Macaca fascicularis: one gene and its partner. The protein of the gene in region 2 interacts with the protein of the main gene of each other region in a biochemical or structural test. Links are inferred from orthologs where the notes say so. Each region holds a gene or a part of one and is shown on either strand. Other genes may lie near its edges.

Evidence for each region. The genes of interacting proteins can lie anywhere in the genome.
Region 1: the proteins of AHR (region 2) and ARNT form a complex in vitro, tested with the Homo sapiens proteins (14 studies listed by BioGRID, with this or other methods). The link is inferred for Macaca fascicularis from reciprocal best matches to the Homo sapiens genes AHR and ARNT.

The regions. Positions count from the first base shown.
Region 1 is NC_088375.1:110,366,638-110,370,671, reverse strand, and holds the start of ARNT (aryl hydrocarbon receptor nuclear translocator), read right to left. Parts: upstream 2,842-4,034; 5' UTR 2,685-2,841; coding exon 2,660-2,684; intron 1-2,659. UniProt on the Homo sapiens protein: Required for activity of the AHR. Upon ligand binding, AHR translocates into the nucleus, where it heterodimerizes with ARNT and induces transcription by binding to xenobiotic response elements (XRE).
Region 2 is NC_088377.1:112,900,978-112,905,036, forward strand, and holds the start of AHR (aryl hydrocarbon receptor), read right to left. Parts: upstream 2,812-4,059; 5' UTR 2,173-2,811; coding exon 2,108-2,172; intron 1-2,107. UniProt on the Homo sapiens protein: Ligand-activated transcription factor that enables cells to adapt to changing conditions by sensing compounds from the environment, diet, microbiome and cellular metabolism, and which plays important roles in development, immunity and cancer.

The sequences.
Region 1 (4,034 bases), on a different chromosome or scaffold from region 2:
CAAGGCTGCAGTGAGCTGTGATTACACCACTGCACTACAGTCTGGGAGACAGAGCGAGACCCTGTCTCAAAAATAAAAATAAATATATTTTTAAAAAGGATTAACTCAAGTGAAGCTTAAAGAGTGAAATTTTTTTTTAAATCGTCTTGACAAAACTAACAAGAATTGTTAAAAAAAAAAAAAAAAAAAATTAGTACTCCAGCAAAAATACAAAGTAGAAAAAACTCAAAGAAATAGGCATGGTGTCCCTAGTCCTTAAAATGGCTCTAAGGAAAGAAGGTATGACAGTATAGCAAAGAATTCTGACCTGAAAACATTTACTTTCACTAAGCACAGTACATTTCCACCTAATGTCCCTCCATTCATTAATCTCATTTCCCAAAATGCAATAGACTACTGAAAAAATCCACAATGTATCTATGCTCTCTTCCTCTTGATATAAAAGTGCAAAGGGAGAAAAGAAAAAAGAAAACATATCTTCTGATTTGATTGAACTGAACATGGAATCGATAAGTTAGAAGAGATGGAAGAATTTTTTAATATCAAAAAAGATATCTGGCCAGGTAGAGTGTCTCACACCTGTATTCCCAACTTTGAGAGACTGAGGCAAGGCTTGCTTGAGACCAGGAGATCAAGATCAGCGTGAGCAACATAGCAAGGCATCTGTCTCCACAAAAAAATTTAAAAATTAACCAGGCATGGTGGCAAGGCACCTGTAGTCCCAGCTATTCAGGAGGCTGATCGTGAGAAGATCACTTGAGCCCCGGAGGTGGAAGATGCCGTGAGCAGTGATCTTGCCACTGTACTCCAGACCGGGCGACAGAGCAAGAAGCAAGACCCTGCATCAAAAGAAAAAGAGGGGAGAGGGGAGAGGAGAAAGGAAAAGAAAAAGAAAAAGGAAATCTAAAAATTGCAGAACCAAGCAGCCAAAGCATAGTAAACAAAGCGTTTCATTAACAAGGATTCTGCATACACACATACACACAAACACATGCTATTTTCTGCTGAGATTTAAGCTGATATTGATCAGCTTATGAAGATATGGTCAAGAGGCTGTCATTCTGGTTGCTGCTGTTTAAAAAACAAAACAAAATAAAGCAACCCCACCCACACAGCTGGAAAAAAGCTCCTGACATATGAACTAAAACTTGTTTACTCAGGCGACTTCTTAATAAGAGAAATGCTTTGCAATTTAACTAGGGTTATATAAGTATTTTGCAATGTGTGATCAGTTAAAAATCTTGTTTATTTATTCCATAGTTCAGATAGGTTATATTACTACAAGGTCAGGTTTGCCATAATGGCATTTTTCCTGTTTTATAGTTTTATTCTATCACTCAGCACTTCCCGCAATGTAATTTTTGCCATTAATTTTACCTCTCTTTCCTTTAAAAAAAATTTTTAAAAATTAAATACAGATAATGACATGTGACAAATTAATCATTTCTTAAAATAGCTGTTCCCAGAAACATGGTAGAAAAGAAATTTCAGTGATTCAACTGTCCAGCAAAATCTGGATATTGCAAAATAATACTGCCTTTCAGTAACATGAAAAAAAAATCTAATTTAAATTTCAATGTGGGGATGGGGGTAATCACTCCCACTGTTGTATTTTCAAGAAATTCTCCGCAACACACACACACACCTCAAGGCCCTTTCTTTTTAAAGCTATCAAATATATTGGTTTTTGGAAACGGATAGACTTTATTTTGCAAGAATGACCAAAGTCTGCAAGATAAACTAGGCCCCTAAAATGAAATACCTTCTAAGGAGAAATAACTGTAACATAGAGGAAAGAGGGCAGGGTGGGACTAGTAATTTGAAGATCTGATCTCTCTAGAACTGCACTACACCCTATTCCATCTCTTAGACAAAACAGACTAGATCTTTTTGATATTTGATTATTTTTTGAAACTGAGAAATGGTGTGGAATCAAACTTTTCTGAAAGAGTTTGGAAACTGGCTGGACCTAGGCCTAACAAGATTTAAACCTGGGGCTGTGGACTAAAGACCTGTCCGAAACCACAACCATTACACAAACCCCTGCCCTCAGCAGGCAGACAGGCCCTCTTAACACAAGATCTAAGTTTCAAAGTATAGTCCGGGGACGGGGACGGGGGTTGCGGGTGGGAGGTAACAGCCTAAAGAGATGTCGTATATATCAAAGAACGTCAATTTTTTATTTTTAAAATTAAAATCTAAACCTTTAAATGTTTGGAAGCAACACGTCAACTAAAGAGCAATATGTTCCAGGGTTTATGAATCCAAACTACTCTTAAAGTAAACGGAGCCACTCTGCCTACAGTATTCGGCATCAAGCGGCTCCAGCGGGCAGAGGGTTAAAAGAGGACCACATCACAGACCAGACGCCGCCCGAGGAGTGAGGGCGAGCCAGCCCCCACTGGCCGCCGCTCCAACGGAGGTCAGGAGAGGGAGCCCCCAACTCCCACCTGCCCCCTCGCTCCCTCCACCTTGAGTCTACCCAAGTCCCCAGGATCGCGCCCCTCCCCAGGTCACCGCTCCCCCACCGTCCCTCGCGGCCTCCGCCCCGCCCCGGCGCCTTCAGCTCCAGCTGCGTCCCCTCAGCCCTGGGTCTCCTTAGTTGTCAGCCCCTTCAGCCCCTCCCCTTTAGAGGCGCCCCAGTCCTCCGTCTCCTCACCGGGGTTGGCAGTAGTCGCCGCCATGGCCGTAGATGCCACCGCCGCCGCGCCACCCCCCCCCAGTGGGAGGAGCCGCCGCCACCGAACCGGGAGGGAGGGGAAGAGAAAGGCCACTCCCCAGAAGCGGCGCCTCCGCTACCGCGGAATCCAAGATGGCGGCTTCAGCAGCCCCCACCATCCCAGCCCCTGTGGCGGAGAGACCCCGCCTATATAGCGGGCGGAATCAACACACGACCGCCTCCTAGGAAAAAATTGACCAATGAAGATGCCAAATCGACCAAGGGCAGGGCTACTCCCTGCGCCAGCCAGTCCAGTGGAGGGAGGGCGAGGAAGAAGTCCAGCTGTCTCCCTAACCCCGCCCTCCTTGCGTAAGAGGTCAATGACCGAGTAACGTCATTGAAATGCAATTAAAATGGGTATTTTAGGCAGGGCGCGGTGGCTCGCGCCTGTAATCCCAGCACTTTGGGAGGCCCAGGCCGGCGGATCACCTGTGGTCAGGGGTTCGAAACCAGCCATGGCCAACATGGCGAAAACCCCGTCTCTACTAAAAATACAAAATTAGCTGGGCGTGGTGGCACATGCCTGTAATCCCAGCTTCTTGGGAGGCTGAGGCAGGAGAATCGCTTGAACCTGGGAGGCAGAGGTTGCAGTGAACCGAGATCGCGCCACACCACTGTACTCGTCTGGGCCACCGAGAGCAAAACTCCATCTCAAAAAAAAAAAAAAGGATATTTTACTAAAAAAAGGATATTTGACTAAAAACCTTCTCTTGGTGGTGGATTCGTCGTCTGAGTGGTTGCCCTGCAGACAACTTATCTTGTAAATCCTCTTTAGGTGCTCTAATACTTAAACTTCACATGGTGATTTGTAATCCTTTCCAGTTTTTTTCCTGTTTTAAGGACTTTTGTCCCTGGTGAAAAAAGTTAAATAACTAACTTTTTAATGCCTGCTATGGGACTGGTAGTGTAAAAGGATCTGGGTGTTAACGGTTTGGTATGGGAGATATTGCCAGCCAGAACTGGAGGCAGTGGATGAAGAAAGTATTTTGAGAATGGGTAACTTCCTTTGGTCAGTGATAGGTACATAATGAGGAGTTTTGTTTGTTTGTATTTGAGACGAAGTCTCCCTCAGTCATCCAGGCTGGAGTGCAGTGGCGCAATCTCGGCTCACTGCAACCTCCACCTCCCTGGTTCAAGCAATTCCTCTGCCTCAGCCTCCTGAGTAGCTGGGATTACAGGCGCATGCCACACGCCCGGCTAATTTTTTGTGTGTTTTTAGTAGAGATGGGGTTTCACGATGTTGGCCAGACTGGTCTCGAACTCCTGACCTCAGGCAATCCGTCCACCTCAGCCTCCCAAAGTGCTGGGATTACAG
Region 2 (4,059 bases):
TTTCCCCAATGTTGGCAGGTTTTAGGGCTCATTAGGTCACAGACTAGTAGTTTAATTTTAAAACTCAAATTTAATATCAAGTTTAATGACTTCATTTCTAAAATAAACTTTGATTTACTGCATTATAAAGTTAACAATTTTTCATTCAGGTAAAAATAATTTATATAAACACTTTCACTTGATAAAGAAAATACCAGCACTAGCCTTTTCTTACAGAGGAAGCTGGTGATATTTAAGGCATTTGTATGATTAGAAGCAATATATGGTGCTCGGTAGAGATCTGATAAACATCTATGCTAACAAAATAAAATGTGGGTGAATGGGAAAAATACTTTTGTTATATTGTAAGAAATTAATACAAGCATATTAAAGACTAAGAAAGTATATTAGGATAATCTAATAAAAAGTACATTTTACGCAAAGTAACTAAAATCCATAAACGTTAAACTGTATAATGAATACAAAATTATGGCATTTGTTTTTGTTTACAAAGCCACCCAGGTCCTTTTATAACACCCTAACTGAAACCCAGTATCTTAAAAACACATCAGGGAAAGCTTCCTGTTTTCTCACTATACACATAAAACCTATGACGTCCCTATTATATATGATGCTAAGTATATTATTGCATTAATAAACACATAGAACAGACATTTGTGATGCCTCCCAACTTTAACCATGAAGGACAATGTCAAATAAGACAAACATACTTTAATATAAGAAATCATTCTACAAAATTAAAAGTATTATAAACCGATGTCTCAAACTGCCAAGGTAGAAAACTGCTGGTTTGACAACATTCCCTTAAAACACACTCTACCATAAAACTTCCATATTTTAATCAGTCTATTTACAGATTATTATCCTCTGTTAATGCCAATTCACAAGTCTAGTTCTGAAGAACTATGATAACTGAAATTCTGAAAGGAAACTAAAATTTTAGAATGAAACTTTAAACCAATAACTGGTTTTAAATGTAAATCTTAAAGTGTTATTTTTCTGGTTCCCATTAGTGACAGTTGGAGTCTAAGCAAAATGCACACTTCTGATTTGGTCTGAGAAGACGTTTAAGAGTTCTTAAAATTGTTTACGAAAACTTGAAAAACATGCAGGTAAAGTAACTCAGAGATAAAACTAGAAATAAAAAAATTGGAACAAACACATGAATACAACCACCACACAACAGGAAAAGTTTCCAGCACGGATACTTTTTTCTGACACACAAGAAAATAAAGTATTTGCCATCTCACACAAATATTCCACCAAAATCAACTGACAACGACAAAAGCAAGTTTGTACTCACTCAATTAGAACAAAACTTGGAAGGGGAAAATAATTAGAGGTAAATGTTAAGAATGAAAACCACTCTCAAATGCAGTTCTAAATCTTTTATGTTACAGACTCTAAAGCCACCCCAAAAGTGATAAGCAAGCTTCCGAAAAAGATGTCTGAAGAATACAAATCCTCCACCGTATCCTGTCCGTTGCATCCACTCCCACCTGCTACCACGTCTATCCACTTTACCGATATGGTCACGATGAGCGCTACAAAACTGCTGCCAAATAAGTAAGTAAGAGCGCAACAGAAAGCCAGTAGGTGGGGACCAAAAAGTACCTTTAGAGGCACTCAGCCCCTTCGTAAAAGTCAGCACGTGTTTAGCTCTTTAAAACATCTCGCCCTACCAAACTCTACCAAGAATGAGAATTAAGACTGTCCTCTAACCTAACGCATGCGGATATTAAAAGTGGAAGGAGATTTCAAGACAGGTTTATACTAACTAATCCATTAGCCCAAGGCAGATCAGAGCTGTCAACAAATCAGGACCAAATCAGAGAGAACAAAGTTACAAATGTGAGAGGGTGTGTATGCACCGGTGCGGGAGAAGAGGATGGGTGGAAGGACAATTTTTAAAATGCAATCATTGAAAACGCGAGAATTCAAGTCCTCGGTCTCCCGACCGGCCTCCAAACCTCGATTCCACGGGCAGTGCCGGGAATGAACCTAATCCCCAGGATCGCAGGGATTTGGGGGCGGGGTGGGGCTGCCTCCCGCACCCGCGTGCCTGTGCGCCCAGCCCCCGCGATGAGGACGCGCTCGGGACACTCACGTTTTCTGCACCGGCTTCCGCCGCTTGCGACTGGCGTAGGTGATGTTGGCGCTGCTGCTGTTCATGGTGCCCAGCCGACGGCGGCGGCTACTCCCCGGGCACTGGCGGCCGGGTCCCCGGGACCTGGTGTCTGCCGGGACGACGGCGGCGGCAGGCGCCGGGTTCCGCGAAGCCGCGCCCGCTCCACCTGCGTCCTCTCCAGACAGTGGCGTGGGCGCTGCGCCTCCGCGCCTCGGCTACCGCAGGCTCCCGCAGCCCGCGCCAGTCCAGGTGAGCTGCCCGGGCCTGGCGCCGAAAGGGGGGGCAAGGGGCGGAGACCCGCGAGCGAGGCGGCGCAGGTGCCGTCTACACCGGCGGAGGCGGCGCGGCAATGCCCGCAGGTGAGGCGGCCCGGGCAGAGGAGGAACCTGGGCCGTCTATTTAGAATCCTGGCCTGGGTCGCTCACGGTGCCGCCGCGCTCCGTGACCGTAGCCGCGGCCCCTTGGGTGAGGGAGGCGCCGCCGCGTTGCTCCCGGGACTTCCCAAATCCTGGGTGCTTCCCGCCTGCGGAGCTCGGGGGCCAGCCACCAGTCCCGGCTGCTCCTAGCTTACGTTCGGCTACACGGCTGCCCCTGGTCTGAGCTGGCGGTCCGGGGCACGCTCTCGGAACAGAGCGTCGAGGGGACTCCCCAGCCGCTGCCTCCCGCCGCCGCGCGCACCGGCTGAATAGCACAAGCACCCCCGACCCCTCACCGGCCCCGCCCCGCCCAGATCCAGCGTAGCCCCGCCCCGTCCTGCTTGCCCCCGCCCATCTGGATTCCATTCCATCTTCCTTGAGGGCCCCACCCTCATCCCGGCACGTGATGACGTAGGACGTAACGACGCCCCCCCGCCGGTAGCCATCTTCGTGCATAGGCAAACTCATTGTAGCTAGACTATACAAAGTATATCAAGATATGCCAAATATAGAGCTTAACTTCGCCTGTTTGAGAGACGGTGGTTCAGCTGACTTGTGGCTAAGAATTACAATTAACTGGTAGACAACCAATGGGACTATATATTTTCCTAGTTGGGGAGGCTTCAGAAGGCCAGATTTCAGTTGAGACTTGAAGGCTAGGGGTTTTCTTGACCTTTTTTGGGGTGGGGGGAAGTCTTTACAATAGACAGGAAAATAGATAATAAGGGACTATTATGTGTTGTGTCATGGAGGACAATGTGGAAAAATATTGGGAGTAGTTAACAGTATTGAATGCTGTTGAGAAATTCAAATTAGAGGAGAACTGAAAATGTCATTCTTGTCTTCTCAGTGTGTAGTCATTGATAATTTTCGTGAATGCTGTGTTGGTGGGGTAATGGGCCTGCAAATAACATTGAAGTGGGTACAGGATTGCTGGAGATGATGAAATGGCATCCTCAAGCAGACAATTCTTCCAAGTTTAACTGTGGATGAGAGACACATCAGATGGTATGTAGGGGGAGTGAAGGGTTAAATGAGGGTTTTCTAGTTTTGTTTTGGTTTAGTTCTTTAATGGGTGATACTGAGCAGCTTAGAGGGGTGGAGATAAACTATGTAGGGAACCTGAGGGAACAGTTAAGGAGTGATATATATTAAGATAGCGAAAGCAGGAGGGAATGAGTGCCAAAGCATAAATGGGAGATTAGGACTAATAGTTTAGATACTAACAGAAACAGCACTTCCAGTACTTTGCTGTTCAGAGTACTCCACAGCTTCTTATGAGAGTTATAAGAAATGCAGACTCTTTGGGTGTCCATATTAAATCAGACCCAGAAGTTCACAAGAACTCCCAGGTGATTCAAATGTACATAAAGTTGGAGGAGCAGTTCTCTACCATAGCTGGAGGAAAGAAGGATGGTGGGTGAAATGTAGTAGGCTACTAAATTTTGGATCAGAAAGATGAAGGAGATGGAACAAAGGGTATTCTAGCATGAGCTACAAAAGAACAACTGTGTT